2 linked regions of the Lepisosteus oculatus genome follow. The protein of the gene in region 2 purifies or fractionates together with the protein of the main gene of each other region. This does not show direct contact. Links are inferred from orthologs where the notes say so. Each region holds a gene or a part of one and is shown on either strand. Other genes may lie near its edges.

Region 1 (8,032 bases), on a different chromosome or scaffold from region 2:
GCGAGACCAGAGCGCCAACACGGGCTGCTGGCAAACCTGCTCCCACTCCTGGATACAGAACTTCCCCACAGAACCATCCCTCTGCTTACAAAGACCTGTGATCTGTGCAATTACAAGCCAGCGAAAACAAAAATAAACTGCTGGTAGGAAAGCCACTGCCTCCCCAGAGGATTATTTCTGAAATAACTCAGGAGATGGTTTTCTAAACTGCCGTGTAACCAGCTGGTGTAGGATACTGCAATCATCCGAAATCAGATTTCAGCTTCACAGCTGGAAAACATCTGGTTTGCTGCCCCCCCCCCCCCCCAGTTCGAGGGCTTCCCCTGGCTAAGGCACTCACTGAGCTCTATGACCCAGGCGGTTCTGGGTTCGAGTCAGGGTCATGACACTATAGCTGCCTGTGACCAGGTGGCGCACAACAGGATCAGGGTGGGCAGGCGTTAGCCGGCCACGTGGCTATGAAACGTAGCCACGAGCCGATACAATGGGGGAAAAAAAGCAACTGGAGATGGGGCTTCAATATAAATAACTGTCAGTCCTAAACGTAAAGCAGAGCAGGTCCCGCAGGCTGGGTGGGCGTACTTCTTGCTCTGGTAGAAGTGCTTTCCGATGTGCGAGGGCAGGAGCCGGCGAACCCTGTCGTCTGCCAGGAAGAGGTCGAAGTTGCCCAGAAGCCTCCGCTTCGCTTCAAAGGACTTGTACTCCTTCTTCAGCACCCGGAAGGGCATCACCTGCCACAGGAGAGGAGGACAACCTGTTATCACCTCACCCCGACGAAGGACGAGGAACTTGGGGGGGGAGGGGGAGTGTTTAAAATTTTTCTGCCAAGCAGTGGGGAACAGTGCCCCCTGGTGGCTAAGCTGGGGAGTACCTGTGTAATTCCTTTGACTCCCTTCTCCGAGAGCAGCCTCTTGTAGAAGCGCTCCGTCTGGTCAGAAGTCATGTTGGGCTCGTCCTTGGTGAAGAGACACACGTCCCCGGATTCCAAGCGCAGGCCATGGGGTAAGGGGCTGGACAGGAAGGCAAGAGTCTCCACTTCAGTGCCACAGAAGACCACTGCAGCGACTTTCAAAGCCTGCTGCAATATTTCATCTATCCATGCATTTTCTAACCCCTTTATGCAATACAGGGAGGCAGGAGAGCCAGTGCCTCTACCTGCAAGCAGCGGGCACCCTGGACAGGATGCCAGTCCATAGTGGACATACAAAAACACAAACACACCCAGGCCAGTTTTTCCAGAAGCCAATTAACCTACTAGTATGTCTCTGGACTGGACTGTGGGGGCAGACCTACAGGAAACTGATGAGGACATACAAACCCCAAGCAGACTGTGCCCCAGGCCCAGAATTGAACACATGATCCCAGCGCTAACCACTGCGCCACTGTGCCACCTTACTGGCGAGTCACCTGGGGAAATACACATCTTCTCACAAACAACAGATCAATTCTTATCCTTGGCTTCTCAACCCATAAGGGCCACAGCTATGCATGATCATGTATACTCTTGGTTTTTCATATATTCTGAAATGAGACAGACAAGCTAAATTGATCGAGATTTCCCTTCTTTTATACCCTCATAACCAGCCTATCAGAAGCCCGTGAACCGGACAGCTTGACTGTCACCGGGCGGAAAGCCAGACTGAGCCAGTGGGACCCAGTGGAGCAGGTTTCACGCTTTCCTTCAAATCGCCACCAGCGCTCGAGATGGGAGGAGGGCCAGGCACGCTCGAAAGCAGACATTCGACTGCTCCACACCGGGGCACATCGAGACGTCAGAGACGCCGCAGCCCGCCAGTAACCCTGCCACGAACACTCACATGCGGATAGTCTGCTCCTTCTTGGGGACCTTCCAGAGAGTGAAGAGCAGGGAGATGTGCTGGTGCTCGTCCAGCAGGACGGAGCCCGAGCTGGGCGTGCTCTTCAGGTAGGCCAGCAGGGCCTGCGCAGCCTTCTTCACCTGCAACGACACGAGACACCGAATCCCTCAGTGCAGGCCAGGAAACCGGCTGCCTAAAACCACAACATCGCTTTCTTCTCAGTTGGGGCGGTTTCATGGTTCTGCATTCATAGCCACAGGAAACCAGAGCCCATTCAGGACACACAAGGCAAGACTATATCCTGCACAGGACCCCAGTCCGCCACAGCCCCACACTCACGCAGGCAGGGGGAATTGAGCCTGGAGAAGTAGTCTGCTAGAAGACACCCGCAGATTTTGAGACAGCACACAGAGCCCACACAAGAGGTGCCCCCGGAGGCAGCAGTGTTACCACCATCTCACTAGGCCATGCCTCCCTGCTATCAACATTCACCCGCACACCCAAAACACTAAACATTTTACGCTACTCTTATGAAAAACAAAATGACTAAGAGACTATGAATCCGATAAACGAATGTATGGCCAGGTTAAACATGTTCCTGACCGATCTAAGTGAATGTCCTACCACTTCAGCAGTACATAAAAAAGCGATCAATTCTATTTAAAATAAGTTATAAGCTTTAGAGGAGCTGCTTATAAACGTGCATGTTCGTATTTCTTTTTGGTAGCTAATTATGAAAACTGCTCGCCAGACTAAGAACTAGTTGCATCACACTCAACTCCTTCATGGGGAGACGGATATTGCGGACTTCTACACTAAATTTAATGATAAATCAGGGAAGACTGGCTTATGCGCCCACCCGAAGATCATACGAAAAACCTACAACACATACGCTGCTATAAGAAATTAAGTTATTCAACTTATTTTAGAGTCGCCGCTTATCCCATTTAGCAGTTACCCTACAGATACGAGTAAAATACCCAAAAAGGTAACGTAAACGAACTGTTTAATTACGAATACTTTTTTATCGCTGGTAGACACATTCAATACAGAACACATCTCTCACGATCTCTGAATCTGCTATATTACCTGCGAGCGATCCAACTCCACACCACCGCTCTGATCGGTCGCCATGCTGCCTCTCCTGACACGTGCGGCCCACAGGACTCGGACATGCGTCAATCAACCACTTCCTGTTTCACTTGAAAGCCCAAACTTTATTTATAAACGCACTATGCTTCCCCAGCCCCCAACCTATTGTGCAGGCATGCGTAGATTGATCCTTATATCCGGTTCGTTCCACGTTGTGCTATTTTTGTGTCGAGGAAGACTGTTACTGCAGCCTTATAAAATTGATGTGATCTTGGATTGATCTTGAAATATTCTGTGGGCGGGGGGAGTTTCTTTATAGCGTCTCCCTTAGAAGTCAACGGCAAAATCCACCATGGACACAATTTTTCGACTGGACAAATAATCATGGTTATTGAAATATTTACAGATCATAAAATTGGAATAAACGTTTTTGGTCTACATTGGGGCGGGGATCATTAATGTCACGTTCCTGCACTAATGCAAGACCTTTATAGATGCACATTTCAGAAAGTTCCCCTGACTAGAACAGTTGTTCACTGCCAACATGTAAACAACAGAATAATACTGGCACAGAGGTATTTTAAAAAATAAAACCGACTTTCTGAAACTCTTAGCTTACATGTACTTTGGAGTGCAAAACTTCACATAAAAAGATGCCACTACTCATCCCCTTAAACACTTCAAAAACACTGACTGCCAATTCTGTATGCAACAATAATTTGAGTCTTTTTTTTAAAGAACACTCAACTTGAACTCCTTACAGCTGTGCTCCAGAGACAAGACAGTGGCCACCAAGGTCTGAAGGGAGATTAGCTCTGCTGTCTGCAGCGGTTTGGGCTGGGGTAGTTACGAACGGGGTTTGCTGCCCTCAGAAAGCTGGGGGATAAAGAGGAAGCCGTCCAGAGCCCGCCAGGTTCCAGTGTGGAGAAGAGTTCAACACACAAAACGAAGCACGCAACAGAAATGTTTTTTTTAAACTTAATATTTTATTGTCACTGTAGTCGCTTTAATAACATGTGATCACGCTCGCACATGCTGTACGAACTCCTTGTGTAGAGAAACCCATCTTGATATAAGCAAAGGGAGACATGTACAACCAGGATATGAACATTATTTTGGTTTCGAAGTGTTGTAAATTTGTGTTTTTTTTTTCCTTTCTAATCCAAGCAGCTCAGTCCACACCTGTTCTGGCAGCTGCTGCCACTTTCTCTGAAGGAAGTCAAAAAAGTTGGAAGAGAAATTCTTATCTTTCTTTTATTAAGTTTCATTCAATGACAATCTTAAAACAGGGAAGGGAGGGGACTAACAAATGGCATAGCTGAGCTCTCAATATGAGAAAGCTGACATATGTGGACTCTTTATTTTTTTAAAAAACTGATTTATCTTTCACTTTCAGAGACGTTTCGTGTTGTGAACTCGTCTGCGGCGGGCAGGAGGGGCAGAGGAGAAGGTGGTGAGAAGCAGGCTGCTGCCGAGTCCACTTCCATCACAGTCAACTACGCCAGGCAACCACAGCGCCCCCTTTAGTCCTTCTCTGGTACCAGCTTCAAAACCTTGCCAATGGCGATGGTCTTGCCTACAAAAAAAAACATAAAAGAGAATTTCTTTCACCGATACAGTCAAATCAGACACCCACCCACTCGATCACGTGGGATTGCAAACAGCTTTAAATCTTTAACTACATACTTTTTAAAACACGCTGCTCTAACATCCTCACACAGACATTACCCTCCCGTGTTCCGACACAATGTACTCCCCTTTAAGTGGGTTTAACCTTCCTAAACCTTCCTTATTCGTGCTGTACAACACCAATCACGTAGCAGAAATACAAATCCAGCCTCATCTGCAGTGGACATGTGTCTGCCGTAATTACGTGTGATGCAGTTCAGCTGCATTGACGCCCTTATTCTCAGTCCTTCAAGACAAGGGTGAGATGGCGTGGAAAGTGAATTCGAGGTCTGTTCTGTAACGGGGCTGTAGCTGTCCCATGCTTTAAGCCACAGTTAACTCCACCTTCATCCCGTAAGGTGAAGCGTCCCATCTGAGGGAAATCTTTGAAGGTCTCAAGGCAGATGGTGCCCGCGGTCCGCAGGCGGGCGATGCACACTTGGTCTTGTTTCACAAAACGAGGTCGCGTCTTGCTTTTCTCGCCAGACTTTTTGTCTACCAGGCAGATTAAGGCCTGCATGAGAAGGAGGAAAATCATTTCAGGTCCATTAACAGCAGTGTGATTTTCTGCAGTCAGCCAATAATGATACAATTAAGTGTGTATTGCTACAAACAAGTCGATCAATGAAAAGAATCTAACTTAAGAGCCTTTTTTTTAACGTCCGTTACAATGTTTGCATACATAACTGGAGGTTAAGGAGGTCTGAAATTACTCCCACCTATTAAGACAGTTTCCCATTAGAAACCAAAATAGCACAGGTTAATATCCATATACACAGTAACTGTAATAAGATCTGAACTCTGTCTAAACATACAAGCATTCCTGGAAGCGCAGCATGTAAAAACACAGGATGCACAGCAGGCCCTGCTGCATGACTGCTTTGAGACTTATGTGACACCACTTCTTTATATCATGTCTTGTCTGACCAGCAATGGCTACTTAAAACACTGTCAGACATTTGGAAGTGGTGTGGAAAATCATGCACTTACTGTAATTTGGACTTCTTCAATGCAGGTGTGGATGTGCAGGACTGCGTTGTAACCAGGGCAGATGATGGATTTGTGTTCGATGATGACAATCTGTGAAGGCGAGACAAGAGCAGAAATAAGACAGAAGTGTGACCAGTTTCTCTTTCTATGAAGAAACACAGCTTTCCTCACTTCGACATCGTGTGAAGCCAGGCTGTCTTGCCTCATCTGATCCGCAGGTATGTGGCCAAAAGTAAAATGAAGTCTTTTTGTAAAACCCTCAGTTGGAGGTCAGGAGGATGCCAAAGGTGTTCAATTGTCTTGGAGCAGAGAGTGCGCACCCATGGATTCTATGGTTATCACTTACTTTTTTACTGGACAGCACCTCCATAATCTCTGGGCAGGTGTTGCCTCTTCTCCTAATGTATGAACGTGAACTCGCCCACTATTCTAGCAATGTGAGGTGGGGTTAACAGCTGACTTTAGGCGTGTGTTGGTGATGGGACAGGGCCTCGCTCTGTATCTGGTGCATGCTCAAAGGCTTTTCTTTGATCCCTCCTCTGAGATCGTCATTCCTGGGGGAGGGGCCGCGGACTGACTTGAAAGACACAAGGGCCTGTGGGGAGTGATGATGGGGCGGGGGCGGACCCTGACCTGAGCGTCGAAAGTGCGCCCGGAGTGGCAGAGGTTCTCGGCGTTACAAAGGATGAAGCCGGGCAGGATCTCCTCCTCCTCGATGCCCTTCAGCCTCAGCTTCAGGTTCTCCCCGGGCCCGGCGAACTCCGTCTCCACATCGTCCGAGAGCAGGCTGAGGACCTCCACGGTGTGCTGGGGACAAACATGCACCTCTTCAGTCAGTCGCCGAGGAGCCTAGCCACATCTCACACGGCTCTAGATCAACAGCATGGTGTTGCACTGTACAGGCCCCACAGCTAGCTCCTGCTGCTTTGTTTGGGCTTATGTGTTATGTGCGAGCAGAAGCCCTCTGCTATAACCATTGCTATCTCTGAACTCGCTTTTAGGAAGACGGGACACAGAAGACTGATGCAGTCTATAAAAAAAACCCATCTGGGCTCTCAGGAAATGCAGCATTTGAAACTGCTGTTCAGACAGAACCCGGGATAGAGGTCAGTGCTGCAATACATGCAAACCCACCTTGTTTGGCATCATCACAAGCTGCTGTGCTTTGCAGATAGACCCAGACTCCAGCTTGCCCAGGATCACAGTGCCCATATCCTGTTAAGGACACTCACAATCAGTGAACTGAACAGCCAACATCATGACATTTACCATGACAAAACCTGAATAATTCACTACCCTGGAAGAACAAACTGCACAGGAACATCCAACATCCTGAAGTCCGCATTATCTGTTAGGGGTGCATGTAAATCTGTAATGCTTAGTTAAGATCTGTAGCTGAAGCAAAATAACGACACTTGAAGCTGTTCACGTATTCAGAGCGTTGTTTTTTACTTTGACAGAAACTGGGATCAGCCTACTCAGTATGCAAACCAATGGCTGTAATAAAATAAAGGGCACAAACCAGTGAAGTTGAGCAGTTAATGTCTCCACTACAAGGTCACTGCAAAGACTTCCACTGTGTTGTAGTAAGAGAAGTCTGTACAGACCACATACGCAAGCATGTATCAGCTATTTACTAGTAATATATGTACTATTTTTGCGTTTCAGATTCAAATGCACTCTGAATACCACTTTTGAAAAATTTCCAATTTACCACAAAATATAAAGAAAAACTCTTGAATTTTAAGTGCTATTCTTTTGGTCAATATTATCAAAGATCTTAAAAGCACCAGGTGAGCCGTGCCGAGTTGCCCTGCAGCAGTTTGTTTTTCTGCCGTGTAAGATACACTAAAAGACAAGAATGAAACATTCCCTGCAGGTGATCACTCCAAAGACTCCCCCCCCCCAACCTAACTCCATGCTCCTGTTTCATACCTCTCTCAGCTCTCGGCTTCCCCTCCTCCGGAGTTAAACCTGCTGACCTCCTTTGTGCTCTTGACAGATTTACTTGCAGCTTTCTGAGCAGTATAACCAGGCTTCAGCTAACCTGACCCTCATCACATTACTTCAAATTAATATAAACTCCAGAGGAAACCCGTTTTCTTTTATATCATATAATTAGAGCTAAAACAACACTTTACATTTTTTAAATAGAATAGGAAACGGGAGGGGAAAAAAAGGCTTTATCCTTCATTCAGTGGAGTCTGTACTTTACCGCTCGTGCCAAAACACACCCACGCGAGAGCAGGCCGTCGCCGATCCCGACTTGCTCAAGGAGCTCTGCGCCGAGGCCGGCGTCGAACACGCAGACGAAAATGAGATCAACCACCGCTGCCCCCTCCATGCACAGAGCTCTCAAAACTACCAGTGCTGACCGCTCAGCAGTGTCCTCATTCCAAAAATAAAATAAAACACCAACAACATTTAAACATGTTGCCAGACTGCAGACTAGCACTTTTCCCATT
Region 2 (7,890 bases):
TTCAGAAAACACCACCAGTTTTTTTCCTCTGGAGTGATTTCAACAGAAACATTTACCACCAGGAGTATTTAAACACTGACAAGAGGCAAAGTATCAAGTGCCTGTGAATGCTGTGATCTGAAGTCTGAGTAACCAAGGAAAAAGGCTTTTTTAGAATTAATAATGCACAGTCTTAGGACGCAGTCTTAGCAGAATTTCTGCAGGGTGTTTGAAATTTCAAATAGAAATATTAACAGTGAAAGTAGTGGTAATGTACTACACTTTAAGTTATAAGCACTTTCAAAGAAATAAAAAACGGCACAATTGTGTAGAAACTAGTAAACAGAAAATAAATGCACAGCCAACTGAATTAATAAAACCAAGAGTATACCCAAATTACATATTAAAGCAACTGTGGAAAATAGGTCTTTAAGCAAGTTTTAAAAAACATGTCAACAGAACTCAGCAGAGTAAGAAGGCCTAAATCAATATGTCCTACATTAAGAGATGGAGTTAACACATGCAATAAGCCTTAAAATAATCAGGTGCTAAGCCGTTCTGTGCTTTATACGCGAGCAGGACATCGGTGTCCACTCTAAATTTCCAATTATTTTTTATAATTATATAGTTAACGAGCTTTTACGAAGTCCTAGAAGAACTCTTGTAGTCTACATTGACGACTGCAGGGGACAAAAAAAGTCTTCATGAAGGAAATGCCCACTTAATTTAAAACATCTTCACTTCCTTTCTTTTTAGTAAAGCTCCACCAAGCCCGATTTTATTTCACTTTTCAACTGAACACCAAATAGACTAGCACACGTAACAAACAGAGTCACATGAAGGGCGGACGTCAGATAATTAGGATCTCTTTAAAAGAATGTTCCATTAAAACACACACACGCAGGTCTTTCAAGTAAAACCGAGGAGCAGGCTTTGAGCATGCCGGTTTAGAAACGCGAAGGACCAGCCGGATTTCATACCTCCGCTTCCTTCTCGCTGTCGATGCTGGAGTCCTCGCTGGAATGAGACGGGGTGAGCACCGAGGCTCCCTGCTCCGGGGAGCTGCTGGCTTGCCGTTTCAACTTCTTTGTCGAGACGCCATTGACGACTGCCTTCCCCGTCTTCTTCGGCTGATGGGGAAGCGAAAAACACCACAACGTTCTTTAGGGCAGCTGATGCTGTTGGAACTGATGGCACCACAGGATGGGGCGGGGGGCAAAAGTGTGTTTTTCTTGGGATAATTACATCTCGTGCTGCTCTGAGATCAACACTATTTTTAGTGGTACTGCAGGTATAGAGGTCAAATGCTGGGCTATGACTGTGATTTAAGAAGCGTGTAGGGAACATTAAACATTTAATGCCAGCAGCCATACCACCCTGCTACCCACACCTGGCAGCCCACTGAAGCTCAGCAGGTGTGAGCCTGGTCAGTACCTGGATGGAGACCTCCTGGGAAAAACTAAGGTTGCTGCTGGAAGAGGTGTTAGTGGGGCCAGCAGGGGGCACTCACCCTGCTGTCCATGTGGGTCCTAATGCCCCAGTGTAGTGATGGGGACACTATACTCTGTAAAAAGGCTCCGTCCTTCGGATGAGACGTAAAACCGAGGTCCTGACTCCCTGTGGTCATTAAAAATCCCAGGGCGTTTCTTGAAAAGAGTAGGGGTGTACCCCTGGTGTCCTGGCCAAATTTCCCATGGCTCTTACCAATCACGGCCTCCTAATAATACCAATCTATGAACTGGCTTCATCACTGTTCTCCTCCCCACTAAATAGCTAATGTGTGGTGAGTGTTCTGGTGCACTATGGCTGCCGTCACATCATCCAGGTGGGGCTGCACATTGGTGGTGGTGGAGGGGAGTCCCTATTACCTGTAAAGCACTTTGAGTGGAGTGTCCAGATAAGCGCTGTATATGTGTAAGCAATTATTAATAACCTGTGAATGCCAATTTTTTCCTTCCTTCTAAACATAAACACTTAAGTAGCCCAATGGCACTGCACTCCACCGGGTATAAAGATATCCTAGAGACTGAACTAACTCCAGATGTAATCAAAAGAGCTACCTTCTCTAACGGCATTAATACAACACGTGTAAATGGATAGCTTTAAAACCTGACCAGCAGATTCACAAGCGTTACCTTAGGCTCTGTTTCATGGCCAGAATCACTGCCGGATTCTTCACTGGAATGAGGCAAATCTTTCATTAATGGTGTTCCATTGACGGATTTGGACTTGTGTTTCTTTGCTGAGCTGCCCCTGACGGCGTCTCCGTTACTTGTCGTTTCAGAGGCTGGTGGCTCTTCGACAGAAGCCCGCTTTTTCTTCTTGGGAGGAGGTGTGTCAGTCTCATCGGGCTGCCCTTCCACTGTTCCCTTTTTTTTCTTGGGTTTCTTTTCATCCTTAGATTTCTTTCCCTTCTTTTGTTTCTGCCGAGCAACAACAAAAACATACTTCGTCCAATGTGTTTACAAGCAATCCAAGTATATACCCAACATGTGGTACCTAAAACGCCTGGCACTTGACAGCGTGAACCATGAAGATGTTTTGTGGATAAAACCCACAGCTCACTGCCTTTACATAAGCATGGCCGTTTTAAGTATTTGAACGTCACACTTTTATCATGTTGTCTGACAAGTGCTACAATAACAAAACTACATTATATAAATATACCAGAATGTAAAGATAAATTAGTAATACGTATTATTGATTACCTTAGTCAAATGCTACTCTGTTGTCCCGTCATAAGAATTAAATCTACTTTCTCAGAAAACGTTTAAATATCTCACACACGTGTACACTCTCAGACACACGTGCTTGGCATCCATGTAACTTCTGACTGGGTACAGTATAAACACGAATGCTATTATAGCTATAAACCATCGCCTTTCCCCACCTTGGATGGCTTATAGTCCTCCATACTGGTGTCAAGATCGTCTTCCATCCCGATGTCTTCACTTTCAACAATCTTTCCCGGCATTTTCACCCGATAAGTTCTCCCAAAGACGGGCTCCTACTGCCGTCTCGGCGACAAAGCTAACAAGGAAAGAACATCCCCCTCCACAGCAACCATATCCGCTATCAGGACTACGGCAAGCTAGAGACGCCAAACAGAGCGCGTCGCTCCATGCGGCTGAGAGACCAGCTGCGTGTACAGAAACAAGGTGTTTATTCACTGGAAGTGGAATAAACGTCAAGACGTGTAGGACTCCGGTAACACCAGACTAAAAACAAACAATGCAAACGTGGTGAAAATAGTTTGTACCTACCTAGATAATTGCACTGTTTCATTTTATTGCTACAACACTTAAACGAGGGTGTTTAAAACTCATTTTTCTTACCTCTTCACCAACCTTGGTTTGCCAGTAACACGTTGTTTGAAGGCTGCTCTGCTCAGTAACTGCATTCTACAGGTGAAACATCAAGGCTCTTCAACACCTGGGATCGAGGAGAGTGTCCCTTTTGTCCCAAAGACCACGTAAACATTACACTAAAAACAAATATTCATCCACAAAAGAACAGTGCGTCGTGGAGAAATGGAACTAGCTGGGAGAAATTGAACTCGCTGAAATAAATGTTTGCGGAGTTATGTTGCATCAATAATTATTGGAAATTAGTTTCAGAATTTGTTTACGTGGACAATTGGGTGTTCTGTATGTAATCTTAACTGAAAATGAGCCTTCAGCGCTAAGCAGTGGAGTGCTGTGAGTTTGGTGCCACTGAGATTGTGCATATTGCATGTAAATAAGCGCGTTTATTTTGTATGACACGGATTTTAAATATACCCACGACTGTTAGTTACCACCTATAATGGTAACCTATAGTTAACATCTATTATGTATTATTTTTGTACATTTTAATTATCATAGTTATTTCAGAAGATAAACATTGAAATGAGTGGCTGGATAAAGCGTAACGAGACGCTTAGTTTTATTTTCATAAATTGATTTTTTGTTTTGTTGCCTGTAAACGGATGTTTCGCAAATATTCCTCGACAAGAAGCTAAGAGATGTTTTACAAAGCTGAGCAATGCTTAATATCAGTATGAGCCATATTGTTTATTTTATTGTCCATATTTATTGCATCCATTAACACAACGCTTTCAGTTGATCTTTAAACATTGTAAGTGATCCTTTGTAATCACTGCGATATTATATTATAAAAAACTTAAAAAGTAAATAATCGCCTTAATACAATATCCCTCCAGCGATGTCAAAACAAAATGTTCATAAACTCGTCCATTTCAATTCATATTTTATTACTATCACCTAAGGGCAATTTGTTTTGCGATTTAAGTTCAATACAACAACACAACCTTAACATTAAAATAAAACATTAACTGAAATTCACTACCACGTCTAAACTGTATATTACAGCCGCGGATCTGTCACTGATTAGAAGGAAAGACCTATCCTGGGACAAGGGGCGTGTTGCAGCGGCACTGGAGAAGCCTGGGAACACACTTTTTAAGGAGCTGAGTGATGTGTGACGTCATGGTGGGGTGCCCCCCCCCCCCTTACAGATGTCTGGTGCTCTGGTGTGACGTCTAGCTTGTCTCTAGCAGCGGCTGATGGTATTTTCCGAATGGAAGCGCACGTAGCTTCTCAGCTGAGTCTTTAAACACACCCGCGGCGTTCTGGATAGCCAGCATGGGCCGTAAGGCTGTGATTGTGTCCGGTGGTCAGACAGCCTCTGCTATATACTGACAAACTATTTCTTCATAGTTTTTTAACTAAACACCACAGGTATGTATTTTATTTTACCAGCTGCTTTAAGAGGATGATTATACATTCAGAATTTCTGAATTACCACTGTTTTGAATTTGTGCAAGGAAAAGAATAGTGAAAGGAAAAGAAGGAACAGATTTCTGAAGTCTTAGTTCATATTGGAATTAAAATGCTTCTATACGACAACGCAAATTAGGTTTAGAAACTAAAAATGATTTATTTTTTAAAATTTGTGTTTAGAAACGTTTTTCTTGTCAGCTCACTTTTACTAATTTAATGGCAGCCATTTGTCATACGTGACATTACAAAATGTGCACAGTAAATGCTGTATATGGTGTGTGTGTGTGGAATATAACTTTCAGTAAAAGAATATCTGCACCGAATATGTAAAGTTGCATGGACGTGAAAATGCATTACGCAGCTCAATTAAGTAAAGTTTATTTCAGATGTTTTTATTTAAAGAAATGCATTCTATTTTGATTGTGAGACAGGAACCACGACTCGGTGAGAAGGGTGTTTTAAGAATCCCGCAATTTAATAAGATGAACATGTTTTTTTAAATCGCAGAATATAGGGAGGGTGTTTACCTTCAAAAATAAATTGGAAACAAATAAAAGCGAAGAGAATATGCGGTATTTGTTTTGTACCTTAATGATTAAAGAGCAGCTTCGTGTCGATAAGCGCACGAACTATTATCTCCGGAAAGCGTCATCTGGCGACAGCCAGGCGTTTTAAATAAACCCGCTGCAGTCGGCTCTAGCCTGTTGGAAGCTCACAAGGTCTTCGGTCCACGTGGATATCATTTACTTTCCATTGCGGTGGACTGCGCGCGAGAGACAGATCTTGTAACGGCACTGGACTCAACCCCCTGAGCAGAGCTGGACCTCAGGCTAGGGGGTCACATGTGCGTGTGTATGCTACTCCTTTTACGGAATAAAAAAAAAACGGAGCGTCATCAGGAGGTGGGTTATCACGCTGGAGCCTCGAGCACAGGCAGTGTCCTGGGGCAGGGCGCTCCAGCGGTGAGTTCAGAGACCTTGACGTCAGGACAGCGGGACTCCACTCCCCTATCTGCAACAGACAGAGTCACGTAGGGCTCGCCGTTGCGAAACCGTGTGATTGTTTTCGAATGAAAGCGCACGTAGCCTCTTGTCCTGGCCTGTCCGCAGGTACCCGGGCGCTCGCAGGAGACTTCAGGGAGAGCAGAGCGGGTGCTTATCCCCCTAATTAACTGTAATTCTCCATAAAGTGTGTATCGTCACCGCAGCAGCTTAATGCCGTCATTTACCACTACTCTTAGTACTTGTAGTGATGCAGGAATGAAAGTGTTCAGACCCAGTACACCATACAGGCTTTGTCTGATGTTGTATCTAATTTCTTGTTAATGCCAACCAATTTATTTCCTACTCCTAACGTTTCTGGTTTACGTAAGTATTGCACAGCAGAATTCTCCAGTGCATAACAGAGACCGAAACCTATTTCTCAACCTGATTCAGAAACAGAATACATTTAAATGGTATGTAGTGGAAACATTTAAAAGGAAAGTCTGGTGCACTCTGTGTATTTGTCCCTTTCTCTCATTCTATGTGAATTACTGTACTGTATGCGGCTCTGAGAAATGAATGGAACACGCAAATCTGTCTTCTCCCTTCTCTAGGTGATGGCCTGTCCTCTCCCAGTCTCTTCCCACGCCCTCACTCTGCTGAGGGAGCTGAACTCTCAGAGGCAGTCAGGCCAGTTCTGTGACTGTGTGATCAGGTTGCAGCTTCACCCTGAAAAACTCTACATAGCCCACAGAAGTGTCCTGGCTGCCTCAAGCCCTCTCCTGGCTTCCCTTCTCCCCAGTCAGGGCTCTCTGCTCGATCTGGGGTGCCCTACTCTTACCCCTGAAGCCATGGGGCTGCTCCTGGAGTTCATCTACACTGGGACGTTGCCACCACTCGACCTGAAGGACTCTGTGCTGTCGGCTGCTGTCTATCTGGAGATGGAGCAGCTCCTGCAGGCTCTCGGCCACAGAGGGGCTGCGCTGTTGGGGTCACCAGGGCGAGGAGAATCAGCCCCAGTGAAGGAGCAAGCATCAGGTTGGGTGCAATACACAGCTCTGTTATCTGAATGCTTGCTTTTGCAATTCTTACATACTGTATGTCTAAAGCTTCTGTCTTAACTATTAATCCCCTTTCTGGAATGTATGTGTGCAATACTGAGCCAATGCCACTTTTGCGACATACTTTGTCTCTCCCATATGCCTTAAAAATAGATGTACACCATTTAACACTTTAATCAGGCTGGAAACAGAACAAAAACTGTAGCACAAATAACTTTAACAGCATCACTTGAAATGCACCATGATTATAATGCACCAGGGGTGGTGTGGTGGGTCTCTGGCTAAGGATCTGGGCCTGTGGCTGGAAGTTTGCCGGTTTGTATCCTGCGGCCAGCAGAGGAATCTTACTCTGTTGGGCCCCTGAGCAAGGCCCTTAACCTCAGCTGCTCCAGGGGCTCCATATAAATGGCTGACCCTGCGCTCTGACCCCAAGCTTCTCTCCCTGTCTGGGTGTCTCATGGAGAGCAAGCTGAGGTACAGTATGTGAAAAGACAAATTCCTAATACTAGAAATTGTATATGGCCAATAAAGAGCTCTTATCTTGACACTTGATTTACATGGCTGAAAGTAACAGGATCTAGTATCAAAATGTTTCGATGTTCACTTTTCTCAAAACACATTGAGAAAAATGAAATGGTTGATGCATGTATTTTTACTTATTAAAATTCACATGTAAGTATACCTTAAGCATAAAAATAGTATGGGCGTTGCAGGTGTTATCTTTTGAGCTCTTCAGAATTTAAAAACTAAAGCAAGCATAACATAGAAAATGCTGTTTTAACAAACCAGAAATAGTATCCTATTTATTGTGTTTATGTATTCCCCAGCAGAGTCTGAAGCACTCAGAACACACCGGAAGAGGCGACTGGCAGAGTACCAGCCAGTGCCAAGAGATCTCCCGTCGCCCCTGCTCAACGGCAAACCCGAACAGACCACACCACTGGTGCCCAGCTGCGAGGTCGTTCCAGTCATTCGGCGTGCAAGCACAAGAGGAAAACCTGAGAAGACATCCTCGTTCCCAGGAACGCAGACTCCCCTCCCGAGCCAGATTCCTGGTTCAGACATGCTGGACTTGGGGTTTCACTG

The links. The genes of interacting proteins can lie anywhere in the genome.
Region 1: the proteins of ddx21 (region 2) and rsl1d1 purify together in Homo sapiens (affinity purification with mass spectrometry; 3 studies listed by BioGRID and IntAct, with this or other methods). This does not show direct contact. The link is inferred for Lepisosteus oculatus from reciprocal best matches to the Homo sapiens genes DDX21 and RSL1D1.

Annotation. Positions count from the first base shown.
Region 1 is NC_090714.1:15,563,163-15,571,194, forward strand, and holds the start of rsl1d1 (ribosomal L1 domain-containing protein 1), read right to left. Parts: upstream 3,014-8,032; 5' UTR 2,952-3,013; coding exon 2,907-2,951; intron 1,958-2,906; coding exon 1,818-1,957; exon of another isoform or gene 1,585-1,817; intron 1,011-1,584; coding exon 872-1,010; intron 732-871; coding exon 583-731; intron 1-582. Other genes in the region: gspt1 (eukaryotic peptide chain release factor GTP-binding subunit ERF3A), read right to left, coding at 4,433-4,485, 4,923-5,091, 5,568-5,657, 6,201-6,374, 6,702-6,782. UniProt on the Homo sapiens protein: Regulates cellular senescence through inhibition of PTEN translation. Acts as a pro-apoptotic regulator in response to DNA damage.
Region 2 is NC_090699.1:30,703,149-30,711,038, reverse strand, and holds the start of ddx21 (nucleolar RNA helicase 2), read right to left. Parts: upstream 3,033-7,890; 5' UTR 2,954-3,032; coding exon 2,870-2,953; intron 2,403-2,869; coding exon 2,115-2,402; intron 1,110-2,114; coding exon 960-1,109; intron 1-959. Other genes in the region: hypermethylated in cancer 2 protein-like, read left to right, coding at 6,361-6,781, 7,632-7,890.